Linked DNA regions of Anolis sagrei. The protein of the gene in region 2 purifies or fractionates together with the protein of the main gene of each other region. This does not show direct contact. Links are inferred from orthologs where the notes say so. Each region holds a gene or a part of one and is shown on either strand. Other genes may lie near its edges.

Evidence for each region. Proteins that work in one complex are often made in the same cells at the same time.
Region 1: the proteins of MYO1E (region 2) and OSTF1 purify together in Homo sapiens (co-immunoprecipitation; 3 studies listed by BioGRID and IntAct, counting the BioPlex papers as one, with this or other methods). This does not show direct contact. The link is inferred for Anolis sagrei from reciprocal best matches to the Homo sapiens genes MYO1E and OSTF1.

The regions. Positions count from the first base shown.
Region 1 is NC_090022.1:224,609,508-224,620,573, forward strand, and holds the start of OSTF1 (osteoclast-stimulating factor 1), read left to right. Parts: upstream 1-4,068; 5' UTR 4,069-4,299; coding exon 4,300-4,333; intron 4,334-11,066. Other genes in the region: NMRK1 (nicotinamide riboside kinase 1), read right to left, coding at 1,406-1,434.
Region 2 is NC_090029.1:12,002,984-12,014,049, reverse strand, and holds the start of MYO1E (unconventional myosin-Ie), read right to left. Parts: upstream 6,873-11,066; 5' UTR 6,761-6,872; coding exon 6,758-6,760; intron 1-6,757. UniProt on the Homo sapiens protein: Actin-based motor molecule with ATPase activity. Unconventional myosins serve in intracellular movements. Their highly divergent tails bind to membranous compartments, which are then moved relative to actin filaments.

The DNA of each region.
Region 1 (11,066 bases), on a different chromosome or scaffold from region 2:
TAACAGCCTTTGTAGTAAGAATCAAACTTATGGTTTCCTCATAGTATTTCCTTGCATAGTAACATTGAGCCGTTGAGGGGACTCCTAAGCTTGTGCATTTGAAGTGCTCATGCCACTAAATTGCTGCTCCTTCATTATCACCATCTGGACCTCAAACTAGTTCCAGGCTTTCCTATGGAATCATCTGCACAGTGAAACCAGTTTCTTCAATACCGGTTTGAAACAACATTGTAGATTGGGCCTAAGTCTGCCTGTGACTATAAGGGATTCAATAAAATATGCTACTATTATTGGCCTTTTCGTGTCCATGATAATGATGCCTTGCCCTCCCTTGAAAAGCAATTTATTTCCTAGTCTGCATTAAGCGCATAGTGTGAGATCTACATAAGACTTTAGCAAGAGTATTCGATTTTTCTCTGAGGAAGGCAATTGCACTGTCTACCCACATAATTTGGCACCTGGAACAACATCCTGGTGAATCTTGAGAACCAGTACTACAGTAACCATCAGGGTTTGAGTGCTCATAAATTCAGGCACATATACATTTTTTTGCTGGGTTTATCATGTGTATCTTATTTTCATATGCCAAACATGAACAGTCAATAAACAATGTATGTTATGCTTTCATGGATATGGTTTTATTTCCTATTGGTAATCCAGAATCCTATTACCGTATTGCCTGATAGGGTCAGACCCCAGCATTCTTACATTATTTTATGGTTTCCTTGCTTGATTTTCTTTTGTTTTGTGGCACATTGTAAATCACTTTGGAATTTCTGGGTTGTTGTAGGTTTTTTTGGGCTATATGGCCATGTTCTAGAGCAGTGGTTCTCAATCTGGGGTCCCCAGATGTTTTTGACCTACAACTCCCAGAAATCCCAGCCAGTTTACCAGCTGTTAGGATTTCGGGGAGTTGAAGGCCAAAAACATCTGGGGACCCCAGGTTGAGAATCTTCAGAGGTTGTGAGGTCAGACCCCAGGTTGAGAATCACTGTTCTAGAGGCATTCTCTCCTGAGGTCTGACCTCACAACCTCTGAAGATGCCTGCCATAGATGCAGGTGAAAGATCAGGAGATAATGCCTCTAGAACATGGCCATATAGCCCAAAAAAACCAACAACAACCCAGTGATTCCAGCCATGAAAGCTTTCAACAATACACTTTGGAATCTTTTGGAATAAAACGCTTTATGGAAAAATCTATATAAATAAATCGGACATAGATAAGAGAGGCCAGATAGCAGTCTGGTAGCTCTTATCCATGTCTGAGGATAAGAGATACAGGATATGATGTAGGTTGAAAAAATAAAGTGAAAAAAGATGGGAAAAAATATACCCCACATTCAATTATTGATAAAAACTTAGCATATAAAGGAAAGCAGTATTGTAGATTATGTTCACACTCACCCTCCAAGTCCAATGACCAAGATTTTCATAGTTCCTTTTTAATCTAAAAAATTAAATTGAGAGGATTGTGTGTTAGGAACAAATATTTTTTTTCCACAATCTATTTTTGATAGACTGCAAAAGTAAAGTAAAATTAGACATAATATGTAATTCATATCCAAAAATCCCACTTGTAAATATTTGCTGGGAAGGTTATATCTATTTGCAAGTTTCTTTGTTGCCCGTGTATTTGCAAAAGCCTTTTTCTCCCACCCTGTGCCATGTCTGCCGAATCTTAAACTAACACAAAGCCTTCATTTATAGGAGGTTCACCATCAGAAATCGAAATATACAAACCATTTTACATTGTAGGTTGCCCGGATTACAAAATAGAAGCAGCTCAGTAAGGCATTATTTAAACAAGCATTACACATAAAATATGGCACACACACCCCAATAGTTATTGAAGTATCACAGACATAGAGTATACTAGGGACAAGGTATGCAGCACATGTACTTGTTGTGATATCATACATTTTATTACTAAACATTTCAGGGCCCACATCTGTGAGTGTATCTACACTGTATGATTAATGCAGTTTGCCCCCACATGAACTGCCATGGTTCAATGCAATGGAGTCATGGAAATTGTACTTTCACAAGATCTTTAGCTTTCTCTGGCAAAGAGTGCTGGGACCTCAGCAAACTACAATCCCCGTGATTCCATAGCATTGAGTCATAGCAGTTCAAGTAATGTCAAACTGCATTAATTCTACAATGTGGAACGTGTTGTTTAGATACAGATGCAAACTATTAGTGCAAATGAAAAATATTAATATAACCGAAATGAGAAATATAAATGTAATTCACTAGGGCAGTGGTTCTCAACCTGTGGGTCCCCAGGTGTTTTGGCCTACAACTCCCAGAAATACCAGCCAGTTTACCAGATGTTAGGATTTCTGGGAGCTGAAGGCCAAAACATCTGGGGACCCACAGGTTGAGAACCACTGCACTAGTGAAAGAGTTGCTGCTGAGCTATTTATCAACCAAAAGATAAAAGCCTCTGGACTCTGTTACGTAAATTCTGGTGCAATTTAAAAGTTTCAGTCACCAGAGCAGAAAGCCAAGACAAACTAGCAAACACTAAAGAGGGACATTGTGTGTATGTGCCTTCAAGTCCCCTCTTGACTTATGACGATCCTATTAATTTCACAGAGCTTTCTTTGGCAAGGAATACTCAGGGATGGTTTTGCCATTACATACAATGAAAAGACACCCTGGAGTTATATTCTGTACCTTTGTCTGTTATAGACATTGAGTTTGATTCTTCTTTAACTATGAAATATTTCAAAAGGACCATCACAAAATAAATAGAATAAAAATGCCATTTATGACTTCCACTGAGTTATGACCAAATTATATTGATACACAATTTAAGACAATGCTTTGTTACAAATTACAATTATAGCTTTCTTGTGTAGGGTCCTGTGGCAATTCAACATCATGAGGTAGCCCAATCCTTACCACACTTTTAAAAAGGCCACAGTAGATTCACTAGTTATTAGGGTGTATCTATACTATAGGTAAAGGTAAAGGTTTTCCCCTGACATTAAGTCCAGTCGTGTCCGGCTCTGGGGGTTGGTGCTCATCTCCTAAGCCGAAGAGCTGGCGTTGTCCGTAGACACCACCAAGGTCATGTGGCCAGCATGACTGCCTGGAGCACCGTTACCTTCCTGCTGGAGCGATACCTATCTATCTACTCACATTTGCATGTTTTCAAACTGCTAGGTTGGCAGAAGCTGGGGCTGACAGCGGAAGCTCACGCCGCTCCCCGCATTCGAACCTGCAACCTTTCGGTCAACAAATTTAGCAGCTCAGCAGTTTAACCCACTGTGCCACCAGGGGCTATCTATACTATAGATATCTATACTCTAGAACCTATATAAACTAGAGAATTAATGCAGTTTGACACCATTTTATCTGACATAGTTCAATGCTATGGAATCCTGGGAGTTGTAAATTGGTGGGGCTTAGAGTGCTTTGTCAGGGATGTTGAAGAGCCTTGCAAAAATAAAACCCCCAGAGCTCCAGAATTGAGCCATAGCAATTAAACTGGGATTAAACTGCATTAATTCTAGAGTGTAGATGAATCCCTAGTCCATCTACACGACCTATTTCAAAATATTACCATTATCTTTTAGAGCAAAGCTCTTATGCAACCAGCAAACATCAAAGCAATCCAAGAACTGCACCCACTTACCTTCCTTCTTCGAACAAAAAGTGCAAAAAACCACAATAAAGACACCAGGGTCTCCTCTGCCTGTCACTCACAAGCCACGCCCCCTTCTTCTCCAACCCCGTTAGAGAAAGCACCGTCGACCCCGCCCACCAAGGAAAGGGGAGGTGGGCAGTCCTATGCAAATTTGCTACATATAAGCTCCGCCCCTTTCTCCTACACCCCAATAGAGAAGCAAGGCACGATGCGAGGACGTTCTATGCAAATAGGGTATATTCAAGCCCCGCCCCTTCCTCCTCTAACCCGTTACAGAAGCACCATCGGTCTCCCACTCCCAGGAAAGGGGCGGAGCATATGTAAATACACCCACTCCCATAGGCCAAGTCTCTCAAGTCCGAGGGTGTCGCCACGCCCCCTATTCGGGATTGGCTGGGCGCTAAGTCGGGAGAGCTGCCCTGGGCAAGAGTCTTTCCCAATGCCTGCGGTGCCCAAGAGCGGCCACTGGGGGCGCAGCGAGCAGCATCTGCTTCGCAGTGGCGACGCTTCCCACTTCCTCATCTTCGCGAAAAGTAACTTGTGAGCCTTTCGGGGCGGTGGGCGAGGCGATCCCTGCAGGAGGAAGCAAGCTCGATCGACCCACATCCAAAAGGCTTGGAAGGCTCGCCGATCCGACCCAGCTATGTCCAAGCCGCCGCCTAAACCGGCCAAACCAGGTAAAGGGGGGAGATCTAAGCTTTTGAGCCAGGAAAGGGGGAGATCTACACTGTGGAACGAATGCAGTTTGGCATCACTTCCTCGGAGTTGTAGTGAGGCACCAGCACTCTTGGGCAGAGAAGGCTGGAGACCTTGTGGGACTACAACTCCCAGGATTCCATAGCCTTGGGCAGTGTGGCAGTTCAGCATTCGTTTCAACCTTGACGGAAGACTCGCAGGAGAGCGTGAGAAGAAGGGGAAGATCCACCTTGACACGTGGATCACTTTTCCCCCTTCGGAAAAGCATTGCCTTCCTTTCCCTCCACTCCCTGCAGCGTCAGCATACGCTTGGCACGCGAATTAGCACAGAGCCCGGGGCTGAGAGAGTGTGACTTGCTGAGCCAGGATTCGCACCCAGCACTCTCGACTCCAACCACGGTGGCAGCGTAGCTCCTGGGTTGTTGTGAGTTTTGAGGGCTGTATGGCTATGTCCCAGAAGCATTCTCTCCTGACGTTTCGCCTGCATCTATGTCAGGCATCCTCAGAGGTTGTGAGGTCTGTTGGAAACCAGGTTTGTATCTCTTTGGAATGTCCAGGGTGGGAGAAAGAACTCTTGCCTGATTGAGGCTACTGTGGATGTTGCAACTGGCCACTTTGATTAGCACTGAATAGCCTTGCAGCTTCAAAGCCTGGCCGCTTCTTGCCTGGGGGAATCCTTTGTTGGGAGGTGTTAACTGGCCTTGATTGTTTCCTGTATGGAATTCCCCTATTTTCTTAGTGTTCTTTATTTACTGTCCTATTTTAGAGTTTTTTTAAATACCGGTAGCCAGATTTTGTTCATATTCATGGTGTCCTCTTTTCTGTTGAAATTGTCCTCATGCTTGTGGATTTCAGTGGCTTCTCTGTGTGGCCTGACATGGTGGTTGTTACAGTGGTTCAGCAATTCAGTGTTCTCAGATACTATGTTGTGTCCAGGTTGGTTCATCAAGTGTTCTGCTATGGTTGGCTTCTCTGGTTCAATCAGTCTGCAGTGCCTTTCAGTTATTGTCATTTTTATTGAAATAAGAAACAATCAGGGCCAGCTAATCACCTCCCAACAAAGGATTCCCCCAGGCAGGAAGAAGCCAGACCTTGAAACTGCTAGGCCATTAAATGCTAATCAAGGTGGCCAATTACAACATTCACACCTGCCTCAAACAGACAAGAGTTATTTCTCCCACCCTGGACATTGCAGAGATATACAAACCCAATTTTCTTAGTTTCCAACAGACCTCACAGCCTCTGAGCCTTCCACAGATGTAGGCGAAACGTCAGAAGAGAATGCTTCTGGGCCATGGCCATACAGCCCGGAAAACACAGCAACTCAGTGATTCCGGCCATGAAAGTCTTCGATAATACAGCATGGCTCCTGTTTCCTAGAATCTAAAAAAAATCTAACTTGATTTACTCTTGTCCCAAGTCTGTTTTTAAGAGACTTGGAGCTGATAACACTGTAGAATGAACGCAGTTTGTTTGACATTCCCTTTAACTGCCATGGCTCAATGCTATGGAATCATGGGATCTGTAGTTTGGCAGAGAAGGCTGAAGAGGCCTTGGTAAACTACAACTCCCAAGATTCCGTAGCACTGAGCCAAGGCAGTCAAAGTAGTGCCAGGCTGTATTCAGTGGACAGTGTAGACGCGCCCATTGAAAGAGAGAGACAAGAGAGATAGAGAGAGGTAACCCGAAGCCTTCCTCCCTGATCCGGGGTGTGGCCGGCAGCGGCAGGGATCGATCGCGGAGCAGGAAGTGCGGTGCAGACTGCACCAAATGCTCCCTTTCTTCGCCTTCCGCCCGCAGAGCTGAGAGAGAGGGTGATCGATCCAATGGGATCTTCTTACAAACGCTGCTGCGGTTGGTGGCAGCAGTGACTTGGGAGAATTTGTTTTGGTGCATCTTTGAAGGTGCCAAAGCCTTAGGGTGTATCTAAACCAGGCATGGGCAAACGTGGGCCCTCCAGGTGTTTTGGACTCTAACTCCCAAAAGTTGGGATTCACCCAGGCAGGAAGCAGCCAGGCTTTGAAGTTGCAAAGCTATTCAGTGCGAATCAAGATGGCCAATTGCAACATTCACAGTTGTCTCAATCAGACAAGAGTTCTATCTCCCACCCTGGACATTCCACAGATATATAAACCCAATTTCCTTAGTTTCCAACAGACCTCACAACCTCTGAGGATGCCTGCCATAGATGCAGGCGAAATGTCAGGTGAGAATGCTTCTGGAACATAGCCATACAGCCCGGAAAAACCAGCTGTTAGGAATTGTGGGAGTTGGAGTCCAAAACACCTGGAGGACCAAGTGTCCCCATGCCTGATCAAAACTGTAGGATTAATGCAGTTTAATGCCACCGTTAACAGCCATGGCTCCATGCTATGGAATCCTGGGAGTTGCAGTTTGATGAAGTACAAGCACTCTTCGGCAGAGAAGGCTAATCACTGTAAAACTACTGCCATCTCTTAGCATCAAGCAATGGCAGATTTTCAAAATCATATCATAAGCGACTTGAGAAACTGCAAGTTGCTTTTCATGTCAGCAGAGATGTTGCTCAGGGGACGCCCAGATGTGTTACCATCCTGTGGGAGGCTTCTCTCAGGTCCTCGCATGGGAAGCTGGAGCTGACAGACAGGAGCTCGTCTTCAGGTCAGCAGTTCAGCCAGATTTCAACTCCCACAATTCCTAGCAGCATGGGCAAACTAGGGTCCTCCAGGTGTTTTGGACTCCCAACTCCTACAATTCCTAGCAGCCATTAGGCTGTTAAGAATTGTGGGAGTGGAAGTCCACAACACCTGGAGGGCCGAAATTTGCCCATGCCTGGGTTAACCCATTGCACCACCGCGGCTTCCACCACCATGGCAGTCAAAGTGGTGTCAAACTGCATTCATTCTTCAATGGAGATGCATCCGTAGATACCAACAGACACCACCCTGGATACGTCTTCTGAGGCTTAAGGTGCACCTTAAGGTCTAACTGATATCTAATAGGAGCTACAGTCTAACAGTTGACACCCCAAAAGCTGGACTTTACCTCTCCTTGCCTCAACATCTAATATGTTTGATTTAGAATACAACCCACTGTCTCATGGGCGGTTGCCTGGCATCCTTGTTGTTCAGAGTGGAGCCATGTGTAGCATAAAGAGTGTGTGGACTGAGTCAGGTGATGCCATTAGAGGGGCCACAACCAAAAATATCTAAATTTTGTGCAGTGTTTCAGCCTTTGTTTGTTTTTTGTTTTTTGTTTTTTAAATCCCTGTAGCACAATATAACACAAAGTAGTGTTCCCTCGCTACTTTGTGGTTCGCTTTTTTGTGGACTCACTGTTTTGCGGGTTTTTGCCTCCTGGCAACGATGGAGTGTGGAAGGCGGTTTCACCCTCCCCCTCGGGGGAGAGACAGCCAATCATAAAAAAAGAGAGAGAGGCACGGCCTTATAGCCCCTTATAGCTAACAAAGAAAAAAGAAAAAAAGAAGTGTGCGGTTCCTTTAAATCTCTCCTTGCTTCTACCTCACCCTCAGAATGCGATATATATAGATATATATAGCGCATCCCTATCTTGCAGATTTTCACTTTTTGCGGGTGGTCCTGAAACATAACTCCCGCGATAAATGAGGGAACACTGTAACCTCAAAAACAACTGTGTATGTCCAGTTTAAAGGTAAAGGTTACTGCTTGACATTAATTCTGTCATGTCTAACTCTGGGGGGTAGTACTCATCTCCATTTCTAAGGAATGCAGTTACCTTTCTGCCAAACATATTGCTCTATTCACATTTGCATGTTTTTGAACTGCTAAGTTGGCAGAAGCTGGGGCTAACAGTGAAAATTCACCCAGCTCCCCAGATTCAACCCGCTGACCTTTTGGTCAGCAAGTTCAGCAGCTCAGCAGTTTAACCCACTGAACCACCAGAGGCTTCAATTTATATCCTTTATCCAGCATTCTGAATCCAGTAGGCTCTCAGGCTGCTTCTATTCAGCCACATACTAATAGTAATAGTAATAGTAATAATAATAATAATAATAATAATAATAATAATCAACTTTATTTATACCCCGCCACCATCTCCCTGATGGGGACTCGGAGCGGCTTACATGAGGCCAAGCCCAACAACACAATACAATAAATGATGTCAAAACACACACAATAACGTGATAAATTACATGAAACATAAAAATACAACAAACAATTTAAAATTAAAATCAATCATAACGCAGTGATTGTGACAGTGACAGTGAATGGGCCGAATGTACAGAATAAAATACTAAAGCTAAAAACTAAAAACATGGGGTGATATAGGGATGGAGCCGATTATTTGTGAAAGAGAAAATCTTCGGAAATGAGGTCAAGAAGGATCAGAATGTGGATTAAAGAAATCCAGTCTCCACATGGACCTTCAGGAACCGCAAAAAAGTTCCCACATAGTCACAAGGCTCCCCTCGTACCAAATTGATCAAGAGGAATATTTTTTTCCCCTTACCTGGTTGGAAGAAATGAACCAATTGCAGCAGCTCTTTGGATGAGAATCAGAAGTAGAACTCACCTTTTAGCTAAAAAAAAAAAAAAAAGGGGGGGGGGGGAGAGGTGTTCATTTACCTCACTGAGAGCATCATATCCAGTTCCTTCATTTGAATTTTCCAGTAGTGCTTCTGTTTACATAAGTGCTGCGCATGTTGCTCTAGAATGTTTGCTCTGCCACATCCATTCACTGATCAACTGCAGTGAACCGTAGTGATGCAATGGGTTAAACCCTTGTTCCAGCTGAACTGCTGAACTGAAGGTCCACGGTTCGAATCCGGGGAGTGAGGTGAGCTCTTGTCTGTCAGCTCCAGCTTCCCATGCATGGACATGACTGAAGCCTCCCACAGGATGGTAACACATCCAGGCGTCCCCTGGGCAACGTCATTGCAGATGGCCAATTCTCTCACACCAGAAACTACTTGCATTTAATCTCAAATCACTTCTGACACAATAAAGCTACAGTACATTTTATCACTGATTTCGGACTTTCTCCTGACTTTTTAAAGCACGTGTTTTTTGTTTGGATGTGCTCTGCAGCACACATTAGGAGCTTGTGTTTTCTATTTATTTTTATTTATTTGAAACATTTATATTCCGGCCTTCTCACCCCGCAGGGGACTCAGTGTGGAGTACACTCGTATATACAGCAAACATTCAATGCCGGAACATAAAACCATAAATGTATACAAACATTAAAATCACTTATATCCACTTTAAAATAAGTTGCTTTAAAACCATCTCAGGACACCATTCTATTATTGCCTCACTGCATTGCCCCAAAGGCTTGCGCCCACAGCCAGGTCTAGTCCCCTCCCCTCCAATAATCCACATCATCCTGGATTTTACAGCATATGTATATGGTCCCTTAGTTAACCACAGTACAAACTATGCATCAAATTAGACAGATATGCGTTTCCCCAAACTTTCCATGCATCCTATGATGTGCCAACGCAGGCTATGATTGCAAAATTCTTTAGTATTTGTTCAACATTTGATGCATTTTTAAAGCATTATTTTTAAAAAAAATACAAAATACATATAAATCTGTTATACAAAGTACACTACAAAGAATTTATTCATATGTTTCCTCCGAAATGCACAGTTGAAAATCCCATTTCCTTATTCAAAGTGAGAATGCCCTCTTTCTGCTAGTGCTTCAGCTCACTTTCTCCTTCTGACCCTGAAGTATAGGTACCATGTGTTGCCCTACTCCTGAGTTTACTTTTTTGGACTACAGGCAGTCCCCGAATTACAAACATTCAGCTTACAAAAGACAGCAGGAAGTGAGAGAAATCTAATCTACCCCTTGGAAGGGAAATTCACTCCTGAAAGACTTATCATGGAGGAAAGGGTGTCTCAACTGAAGCTTTCTCACCAATCCTTGTTTCCACAACTAGCCAAATGTTTCAAAATCCAAATATCACAGGGACATAAAGTGAGATGAAATCTTCTGAACAGGGGCACAGACAGCAAAACAAACTCCACAAGGGTGTTAACTAACCCCTATGCTATTCAAAGCTTATCTATATCTTATCTATAAAGTAAAGGTAAAGGTTTCCCCTTGACCTTAAGTCTTGTTGTTGTTCATTCATTCAGTCGTTTCCGACTCTTTGTGACTTCATGGACCAGCCCACGCCAGAACTCCCTGTCGGCCATTACCACCCCCAGCTCCTTCAAGGTCAATCCAGTCACTTCAAGGATGCCATCCATCCATCTTGCCCTTGGTCGGCCTCTCTTCCTTTTTCCTTCCATTTCCCCAGCATAATTGTTACTTTCCCACTGAAGTGGTGCCTATTAATGTCACATGTGCATATTTTCAAACTGCTAGGTTTGTATAAGCTGGGGCTAGTAGCGGGAACTTCCTGGATTTGAACCGCTGACTTTTTGGTCCACAAGTTCAGCAGCTCACTTTAACCCACAGTGCCACCAGGGGCTCTGATCTATATGTATATCTATATCTATATATCTATATCTATATCTATATCTAACTTGTCATACTGTTGGAGGGCCGGATTATAATTTTAAAAAAACATGAATGAATTCCTTTGCACACGGAACATATCTTTTTTATTGCTTTAGTGTTTTTTGCACTACAAAAAAGATATGTTCCGTGTGCAAAGGAATTCATTCATGTTTTTAAAAAATTATAATCCGGCCCTCCAACAGTATGAGGGGCTGTCACCTCTGTTTAAAATGTTTGAGG
Region 2 (11,066 bases):
TACCCGAAGCAGGCCAGACACTGTAGCTCCGCCGCTTGGCCCACCCGCAGATTTGGGAGAGAGGAGGCGGGTGGAGCGCCGGGGGATCGGGAAAGGAAGCCGATCATGGGGAAGGGATCGAACGCAGAGAACGATTGAGCACCGGCTCTGCTCGCTTACCCGGTGGCCAGGTGGAGCAGGAACGAGAGGGCTAGGCGAGGCTCAAGGGCCCGACCCCTTTGGGAAGAGGATCGCCCGGCAGTGAGGCAAGAAAGCCGAGGCTCCCCCCCCCCCCGGACTGCTAGGGCTGTTGGGAGCTGAGGGGGTGCTCCTCAAGTGGCGGTCGAGGGGCATTTACAGAGGCACCTCTGCACCCCTGGCAAAAAAAAGTGTTCTGCGACCGCTTACTTCGCGTAATGGATGAGCCGCCCCTGTATAATATACCTGAGTATAAGCCGACCTGAATATAAGCCGAGCCACCTAATTTTACCACAAAAAACTGGGAAAATGTATTGACTCAAATATAAGCCAAGGGTGGAAAAAGCAGCAGCTACTGATCAATTTCGAAATAAAAATAGATACCAATAAAATAACATTAATTGAGGCAGAAGGTTCAATGTTTTTGAATATTTACATAAAACTGTAACTTAAAACTGAGCCTGTCCAACTGTGATTAAGCCATTATTTTAACCTCCTTCAATGTCAAAGCGCTTACATACATATCCTTCCAATAATAAATATACTAAATAATATACTAAATAATATTAATAATTATATTATTAATAATATACTAAATATAAAAATATACTAAATATAATAATTATATATTAATAATATACTAAATAATAAATGTAGTATAAATAATAATAATAGAGTAAAATAATGGAAATGTAATAATAACAGTTATAATAGAGTAAAATAACAAATGTAATGATAAAAATAGAGTAAAATAGTAAATGTAATAATAACAATACATGGAGTAAAATAATAAACGTAATAACAATAATTCATGGAGTGAAATAATAAATGTAATAACAACAATAATAGAGTAAAATAATGTAAATGTAACAATAAGAGTAAAATAATAAATGTAATAGCAATAATAATAGAGTAATATAATAGATGTAATAAAAACATGACTAGAGAAAAATAACAAATGAAAAAGTAACAATAAATAAGAGTAAAATAAAAATGTAAACAAAATAATAAGAGTAAAATAATGTAAATGTAATAATAATATTAAATAGAGAAAATAATAAATGTAATAGAAATCATGATAAAATAATAAATAACCTTGACTCGAGTACAAGCCGAGGGGAGCTTTTTCACCCTAAAAAAGAAGCTGAAAAACTAGGCTTATACTCGAGTATATATAGTATATGATTTGTATTATTCTTGTAAGATCATATTATTATTATTATTATTATTATTATATTACTATTTTGTATATATAAAGGCCAATCCTGAGTTACAAACACCCAACTTGCAAATGACTCCTAGTTAAGAACAACAGGGCTGAGACAACAGGAAGTGAGAGGAATGTCATATATTATTAGCATCATTATTATATTATCTATATAAATAAAAATGTAATGTTCGTTTGTGGGATTAACATAACTCAAAAACCACTGGACAAATTGACACTAAATTTAGACACAAGACACCTAACACCCCAATGTATGTCCTTCACTCAAAAAAATTGATTTTGTCACTTGGGAGTTGTAGTTGCTGGGATTTATAGTTCACCTACAATCAAAGAGAATCCTGAACTCCACCAATTATGGCATTGAACCAAACATGGCACACAGGACTCCCATGACCAACAGAAAACACTAGAAGGGTTTGGTGGGCATTGACCTTGAGTTTAGGAGTTGTAGTTCACCTACATCCAGAGAGCACTGTGGACTCAAACAATGATGGATCTGGACCAAACTTGGCACAAATATTCCATATGCCCAAATATGAACACAGATGGAGTTTGGGGGAAATAGACCTTGACATTTGGGATTTGTAGTTGCTAGGATTTATAGTTCACCTACAATCAAAGAGCATTCTGAACTCCACCAACGATGGAATTGAACCAAACTTAGCACACAGGACTCCCATGACCAACAGAAAACACGAGAAGGGTTTGGTGGGCTTTGACCTTGAGTTTGGGAGTTGTAGTTCACCTACATCCAGAGAGCACTGTGGACTCAAACAATGATGGAGCTGGACCAAACTTGGCACAAATATTCCAAATGGCCAAATATGAACACAGATGGAGTTTGGGGGAAATAGACCTTGACATTTGGGATTTGTAGTTACTGGGATTTATAGTTCACCTACAATTCTGAATAACACAAACGACAGAATTGGGGCAAATTTTCCACACAGAACCCCCATGACCAACAGTCCAACTCTTCACCAGGGAAAGAAAATGTAATCAGAGCTCTCCTGACAAAGAGCCATCCAGCCATAGATATAGATATAGATAGATAGATATGATTCACACACACACACAGATATAGCATCATAGATTTGAAAGGGACTCCTAGAGAAGGACAATGATATGTTGCATGTTCCAGAGTAGGCAAACTAGACACTCTCCACATCAACACTGACAAAGAAACAACAATAAATACTGTTTACCCACAAGCACAAAGAAATTACTTATATTAGAAACCAACACTTTCTCATTACTTTATTTTCCAGATCACCAGACTGGGCCACAGCAACGCCTGGCAGGGGACAGCTAGTATGATATAATTATATAGTATTTATTATATATAAATATAGGCCTTCCCAAGTTACAAACATCTGACTTACAAACAACTCACTGTGAAGAAGAATCGGAAGTGATAGGAACCTCACTTCCACTGGAGCTTCACCCCCAATCTGTGTGCACAACAAGCCAAAATGTTCAAAAACCCATTCTTGCAGGGACAGAAAGTGAGGTGGAATCCTTCCTCCAAACAGGAGCACTGGCAGCAAAGGAAACCCCACCGGGGCGGTCACTCCTAGGAGATCCAAAGCTTAAAGATAGATAGATAGATAGGTAGATAACAAATTTGTGAACATCCTGCGGCTCCTCCATGATGACATGATGGCATCAGTCTGGGACAGCAATGGCTCCCAAAGGGACCCATTTAAGGTGGAATCAGGTGTCAAACAGGGATGTGTTATTGCCCCAACCTTATTTTCCATCTTCATCACTATGATACTTCATCTTGTTGATGAGAAGCTTCCCACCAGAGTGGAAATCATCTATCGGACAGAAGCTATTTAACCTCAGCAGACTGAAAGCCAAAACCAAGGTTACAACAACATCTATTATAGAACTCCAGTATGCTGATGACAATGTCATCTGTGCGCATTCAGAAGAAGACCTACAAATCACTCTAAATACCTTTGCAGAAGCATACGAGAAGCTTGGCCTGTCATTGAACATCAAGAAAACCAAATTGCTCTTCCAGCAGTCACCGGCCAATCCCTCTCCAATGCCAGAGATATAGCTTAATGGTGTAACATTAGAAAATGTTGACCATTTCCGCTACCTGGGCAGCCACCTCTCCACCAAAGTCAACATCGACACCGAAATACAACACCGCCTGAGCTCTGTGAATGCAGCATTTTTCCGAATGAAGCAGGGAGTGTTTGAGGACCGGGACATCTGTAGGGATACCAAGGTGCTTGTTTATAAAGTTATTGTCCTCCCAACCCTGCTATACGCCTACGAGACATGGACTGTCTACAGACGTCACATGCAACTCCTGGAACGATTCCATCAGCGCTGCCTCCGGAAAATCCTGCAAATCTCTTGGGAAGACAAGCGGACAAATGTCAGCGTGCTGGAAGAAGCGAAGACCACCAGCACTGAAGTGATGGTCCTCCGCCATCAACTCCGCTGGACTGGCCATGTTGTCCGAATGCCCAACCACCGTCTCCCAAAGCAGTTGCTGTACTCCAAACTCAAGAACGGAAAACGGAATGTTGGTGGGCAGGAAAAGAGACTGAAAGATGGGCTCAAAGCCAACCTTAAAACCTTCAGCATAGACACTGAGACCTGGGAAGCCCTGGCCCTTGAGCACTCCAGCTGGAGGTCAGCTGTGACCAGCAGTGCTGCAGAATTTGAAGAGACACGAATGGAGTGCGAAAGAGAAAAACGTGCCAAGAGGAAGGCACGTCAAGCCAACCCCGACCGGGACCGCCTTCCACCTGGAAACCGATGCCCTCACTGAGGGAGAAGATGCAGATCAAGAATAGGGCTCCACGGTCACCTACGGATCCACCCTGGAGGATTATTCTACTTAGACAAGTAAGTAAGTAAGTAAGTGGGGTTACACTGATAACATGTCCATGTTCTGACTTACATAAGTGCAAACCGAGTGAGCCTCTCATGTTGGCAACTTGGGGTCAGCCTGGCCATCTTTTCAGAGGGATGCTCCATCCACCCCTGGGGGGTCCCCAGCCTGAAAAGGTGCTGAAATCATAGCCTTCCAATGTTTCAGGATTGTTTGACATGTATCGCAAGACTTGTCTGCCATAAAGTAGAGAAAAAAGACTGGAAGCACAATATGGAAACCTGGGAGGAGGAGGGTGCGCCAACCTGTGCCATTTGGGTGCAAAGAGGAGCCCGAAAGCGGGCCAAGTGGGACATTTGAGGGCAAGCCCCCTCTTGTTGCTCCATTCCTTGGGCCCAAATTAGCGACGCCATTATTACGTTTACTAGCCGTCCCCTGCCACACGTTGCTGTGGCTCAGTCTGTGTATATACGTTTTGTGTGTGTATTTGTATATATGTGTGATTTCTGTATATATGTGGTTTTGCATATGCGTTGTAATGCATTTTTGTTTGTTTTGGCTTTCTAAGTCTCTTCTGCTGTGTTTTTCAGTGTTTTTATGAGTGATGGTCACTCATTCGTCCAATTGGTGTCTTGTGTCCAAACTTGGTGTCAATTCGTCCAGTGGTTTTTGAGTTGTGTTAATCCCACAAATGAACATTACATTTTTATTTATATAGACTAGCCGTGCCCTGCCACACGTTGCTGTGGCCCAGCCTGGTGATCTGGAAAATAAAGTAATGAGAAAGTGTTGGCTTCTAATATATATAATTTCCTTATGCTTGTGGGTAAACAGTATTTCTTGTTGTTTGTTTGTCAGTGTTGATGTGGAGATGGTCTGGTTTGCGTACTCTGGAACATGCAACATATCATTGTCCTTCTTTAGGGGTCCCTTTCAAATCTATATCTCTCTGTGTGTGAATCATATCTATCTATCTATATCTATGGCTGGATGGCTCTTTGTCAGGAGGGCTTTGATTACATTTTCTTTCCCTGGTGAAGGGAATTGGACTGGATGGCCTTAAACATTTTCTGTTGGTCATGGGGGATTCTGTGTGGGAAGTTTGCCCGAATTCTGTTGTTCGTGGGGTTCAGAATGCTCTTTGATTGTAGGTGAACTGCGAATCCCAGTAACTACAAATGGTCTATTTCCCCCCAAACTCCATCTGTGTTCATATTTGGGCATACGTAATATTCGTGCCAAGTTTGGTCCAGATCCATCGTTGTTTGAGTCCATGGTTGTCTCTGGATGTAGGTGAACTACAACTCCCAAACTCAAGGTCAATGCTTGCCAAACCCTTCTAGTGTTTCTGTTGGTCATGGGAGTCCTGTGTGCCCCGATTGGTCACGGGGGATTCTGTGTGGGAATTTTGCCCCGATTCTGTCATTCGTGGGGTTCAGAATGCTCTTTGATTGTAGGTAAACTGCGAATCCCAGTAACTACAAATGGCAAGGTCTATTTCCCCCCAAACTCCATCTGTGTTCATATTTGGGCATATGGAATATTCGTGCCAAGTTTGGTCCAGATCCATCGTTGTTTGAGTCCATGGTAGTCTTTGGATATAGGTGAACTACAACTCCCAAACCCAAGGTCAATGCCCACCAAACCCTTCTAGTGTTTCTGTTGGTCATGGGAGTCCTGTATGCCCCGGTTGGGGTTCAGAATGCTGTTTGTTTATAGGTGAACTACAAATCCCAGCAACTACAACTCCCAAATGTCAAGATTCTATTTTCCCCAAACTCCACCAGTGTTCCCATTTGGGCATATTGAGTATTCGTGTAGAGTTTGATCCAATTCCATCATTGTTTGAGTCCACAGTGCTCTGTGGATGTAGGTGAACTACAACTCCAAAACCAAAGGACACTGCCCACCAAACCCTTCCAGTTTTTTCTATTGGTCGTGGGAGTTCTGTATGCCATGTTTGGTTCAATTCCATCATTGGTGGAGTTCAGAATGCTCTTTGATTGTAGGTGAACTATACATCCCAGCAACTACAACTCCCAAATGACAAAATCAATTCTTTTTGAGTGGAGGACATACATTGGGGTGTTAGGTGTCTTGTGTCCAAATTTGGGAGCAATTCATCCAGTGGTTTTTGAGTTGTGTTAATCCCACAAACCAACATTACACATTTTTGTGTATATAGATATGATGTTCCTGATCCTGTCAGGTTTAGTAGGCCTTGTGGTTTGAGCTCAGTTTGAACTGGATCCTAGGAGATGGGTGAGAGTATGGTAGCTGGGTCGGGAAGCGCCGAGCGTTACGCACATTCCGCAACGGCGGTTGTGAATAAGGGAAGGGGAGAGCGGCAGGCCTGCCGCTCTCCCCTTCCCTTATTCACAACCGCCGTTGCGGAATGTGCGTAACGCTCGGAGCTTCCCGACCCAGCTACCATACTCTCACCCGTCCTCCCTTCCTTCCCGCTTCCCTACTCCAGCGTAGGCCTCAACACTCACCATGGCTGGATGGACGGAAGGATGGATGGCGATCTTTCCCTCTCTCTCTCTCTCCCGCCGCCCCTCCGGCTCCCTCTGAGGCAAAGAGCGAGAGGAGGAGGAGGAGGATGAAAAGGGGGCGTGGCCAAGTGGGCGGGGATAGGGAGTGGCCACGCCCCCTCGGCGCAGCATAGGCGAGACTGGGTTGCCCGGCAGCGGCCCCTGGTGGCCACGGACCGCCATCGCAGCGCCCTGACACCCCGTGCTTTAGAATCTATTAGATAGATAGATAGATAGATAGATAGATAGATAGATAGATAGATAGATAGATAGATAGATAGATAGATAGATAGATAGATAGATAGATAGATAGATAGATAGATAGATAGATAGATAGATAGGTAGGTAGGTAGGTAGGTAGGTAGGTAGGTAGGTAGGTAGGTAGGTAGGTAGATAGATAGATAGATAGATGCTCTGTGCATAATGAGTGCCTTAAAAACAAAAGAACCAATGAACGAAATCACACCAAATTTGGCAACAAAATGTCTCACAACACAAGGAGTGACCATCACTCAAAAAATTATGATTTTGTCCTCTGGGAGTTGTAGTTGCTGGGATTTATAGTTCACCTACAATCACAGAGTATTCTGAACTCCACCAATGATGGAATTGAGCCAAACTTGGCACGCAGAACTCCCACGACCAACAGAAAATACTGGAAGGGTTTGGTGGGCATTGACCTTGAGTTTGGGAGTTGTAGTTCACCTACATCCAGAGAGCATTGTGGACTCAAACAATGACGGACCTGGACCAAACTCTACATGAATACTCAATATGCCCAAATGTGAACACTGGAAAATAGAATCTCGACATTTGGGATTTGCAGTTGCTGGGATTTATAGTTCACTTACAATCACAGAGTATTCTGAACTCCACCAATGATGGAATTGAACCAAACTTGGCACACAGGACTCCCATGACCAACAGAAACACTAGAAGGGTTTGGTGGGCATTGACCTTGAGTTTGGGAGTTGTAGTTCACCTACATCCAGAGAGCACTGTGGACTCAAACAATGATGGACCTGGACCAAACTCTACATGAATACTCAATATGCCCAAATGTGAACACTGGAAAATAGAATCTCGACATTTGGGATTTGCAGTTGCTGGGATTTATAGTTCACTTACAATCACAGAGCATTCTGAACTCCACCAATGATGGAATTGAACCAAACTTGGCACACAGAACTCCCATGACCAACAGAAAATACTGGAAGGGTTTGGTGGGCATTGACCTTGAGTTTGGGAGTTGTAGTTCACCTACATCCAGAGAGCGCTGTGGACTCAAACAATCATAGAATCATAGAATCAAAGAGTTGGAAGAGACCTCATGGGCCATCCAGTCCAACCCCCTGCCAAGAAGCAGGAATATTGCATTCAAATCATCCCTGACAAATGGCCATCCAGCCTCTGTTTAAAAGCTTCCAAAGAAGGAGCCTCCACCACACTCTGGGGCAGAGAGTTCCACTGCTGAACGGCTCTCACAGTCAGGAAGTTCTTCCTCATGTTCAGATGGAATCTCCTCTCTTGTAGTTTGAAGCCATTGTTCCGCGTCCTAGTATTCTGAACTTCACCAAGGATGGAATTGAACCAAACTTGGCACACAGAACTCCCATGACCAACAGAAAATACTGGAAGGGTTTGGTGGGCATTGACCTTGAGTTTGGGAGTTGTAGTTCACCTACATCCAGAGAGCACTGTGGACTCAAACAATCATAGAATCATAGACTCAAAGAGTTGGAAGAGACCTCATGGGCCATCCAGTCCAACCCCATTCTGCCAAGAAGCAGGAATATTGCATTCAAATCACCCCTGACAGATGGCCATCCAGCCTCTGCTTAAAAGCTTCCAAAGAAGGAGCCTCCGCCACACTCCGGGGCAGAGAGTTCCACTGCTGAACGGCTCTCACAGTCAGGAAGTTCTTCCTCATGTTCAGATGGAATCTCCTCTCTTGTAGTTTGAAGCCATTGTTCCGCGTCCTAGTATTCTGAACTTCACCAAGGATGGAATTGAACCAAACTTGGCACACAGAACTCCCATGACCAACAGAAAATACTGGAAGGGTTTGGTGGGCATTGACCTTGAGTTTGGGAGTTGTAGTTCACCTACATCCAGAGAGAACTGTGGACTCAAACAATGATGGATCTGGACCAAAACTGGCACAAATATTCCATATGCCCAAATATGAACACAGATGGAGTTTGGGGAAAATAGACCTTGACATTTGGGATTTGTAGTAACTGGGATTTATAGTTCACCTACAATTCTGAGTCTCACCAACGATAGAATTGGAGCAAATTTCCCACACAGAACCCCCATGACCAACAGTCCAACTCTCTTCACCAGGGAAAGAAAATGTAATCAGAGCCCTCCTGACAAAGAGCCATCCAGCCATAGATAGACACACAGGACTCCCATGACCAACAGAAACACTAGAAGGGTTTGGTGGGCATTGACCTTGAGTTTGGGAGTTATAGTTCACCTACATCCAGAGAGCACTGTGGACTCAAACAATGATGGACCTGGACCAAACTCTACATGAATACTCAATATGCCCAAATGTGAACACTGGAAAATAGAATCTCGACATTTGGGATTTGCAGTTGCTGGGATTTATAGTTCACCTAGAACCACAGAGCATTCTGAACCCCACCAACGATAGAATTGTGCCAAACCTCCCACACAGAACCCCCGTGACCACCAGAGTGGGCCACAGCAACGCGTGGCAGGGAACGGCTAGTGTGTGTGTGTATATATAAATATAAATATAAATAAATAAATCAATAAATGTAATGTTTGTTTGTGGGATTAACATAACTCAAAAACCACTGGATGAATTGACACCAAATTTGGACACAATACACCTATCAGGCCAATGAGTGTCCATCACCCCTAAAAACACACAAAATACCCAGCAGAACGGACTTTAAACCCCCCAAAATAAACTACATATACATATACACATACACTCATATTCATATACATATGCACACATACATACGTACAGACAGACATACACACACATATATATACACCAGCATACACAAATATACACATACATATACACACATACACATATAGACATACATACACACATATATATACACAATCACACACATATACTCAATATACATATACACATATAAACACAAAAATACACGAATATATACACACGTATACACACATATGCACACACACACATATACACCTATCTATCTATCTATCTATCTATCTATCTATCTATGCAAACACACATATATACACTCATACACAAATATATACACACACATAAACACACATATATATATACACACACAAAACATATACACAGACTGGACCACAGCAATGCGTGGCAGGGGACAGCTAGTGTGTGTGTGTGTGTGTGTATATAATTTTAGGACACACACAAACACAACCGTTACAATTCCCACCACCACAACAACAAGGATTACTTTTTTTCACATATAGACATACATACACACATATATATACACAATCACACACATATACTCAATATACATATACACATATAAACACAAAAATACACGAATATATACACACGTATACACACATATGCACACACACACATATACACCCATCTATCTATCTATCTATCTATCTATCTATCTATCTATGCAAACACACATATATACACTCATACACAAATATATACACACACATAAACACATATATATATATACACATGAGGTCACGAAGAGTCGGAGACGACTGAACGAATGAACAACAACAATATATACACACACACAAAACATATACACAGACTGGACCACAGCAATGCGTAGCAGGGGACAGCTAGTGTGTGTGTGTGTGTGTGTGTGTGTATGGGCGGGGATGTGTGAATTCACAGGCTACCACTCGGGAAACTATGTTTACAGGTAAGCAACCTCTCTCTCTCTCTCTCTCTCTATATATATAATTAATTAATTAATTTTAGGACACACACAAACACAACCGTTACAATTCCCACCACCACCACCCCAAGGATTATTTTCTTTCACATATTAATCCCTTTGGAGACAATTCTTCTGGATTTACATACTGTATAACATTTGTCTTCTATTTCTTATGCCCTGATCTCTAGACTTATTCATATTATAATTCTTGACCTGCTTCCATCTCTCTTCAGCTTCTTGCATTCTATTTTCATTACATTCTGAATCATTTAATTTTACATCCATGATTTTAAATTCCATTGGAAATAATGTATTTATTTACTGTCCACTTGGATTTGTCTTTCCATCCCAGCAGC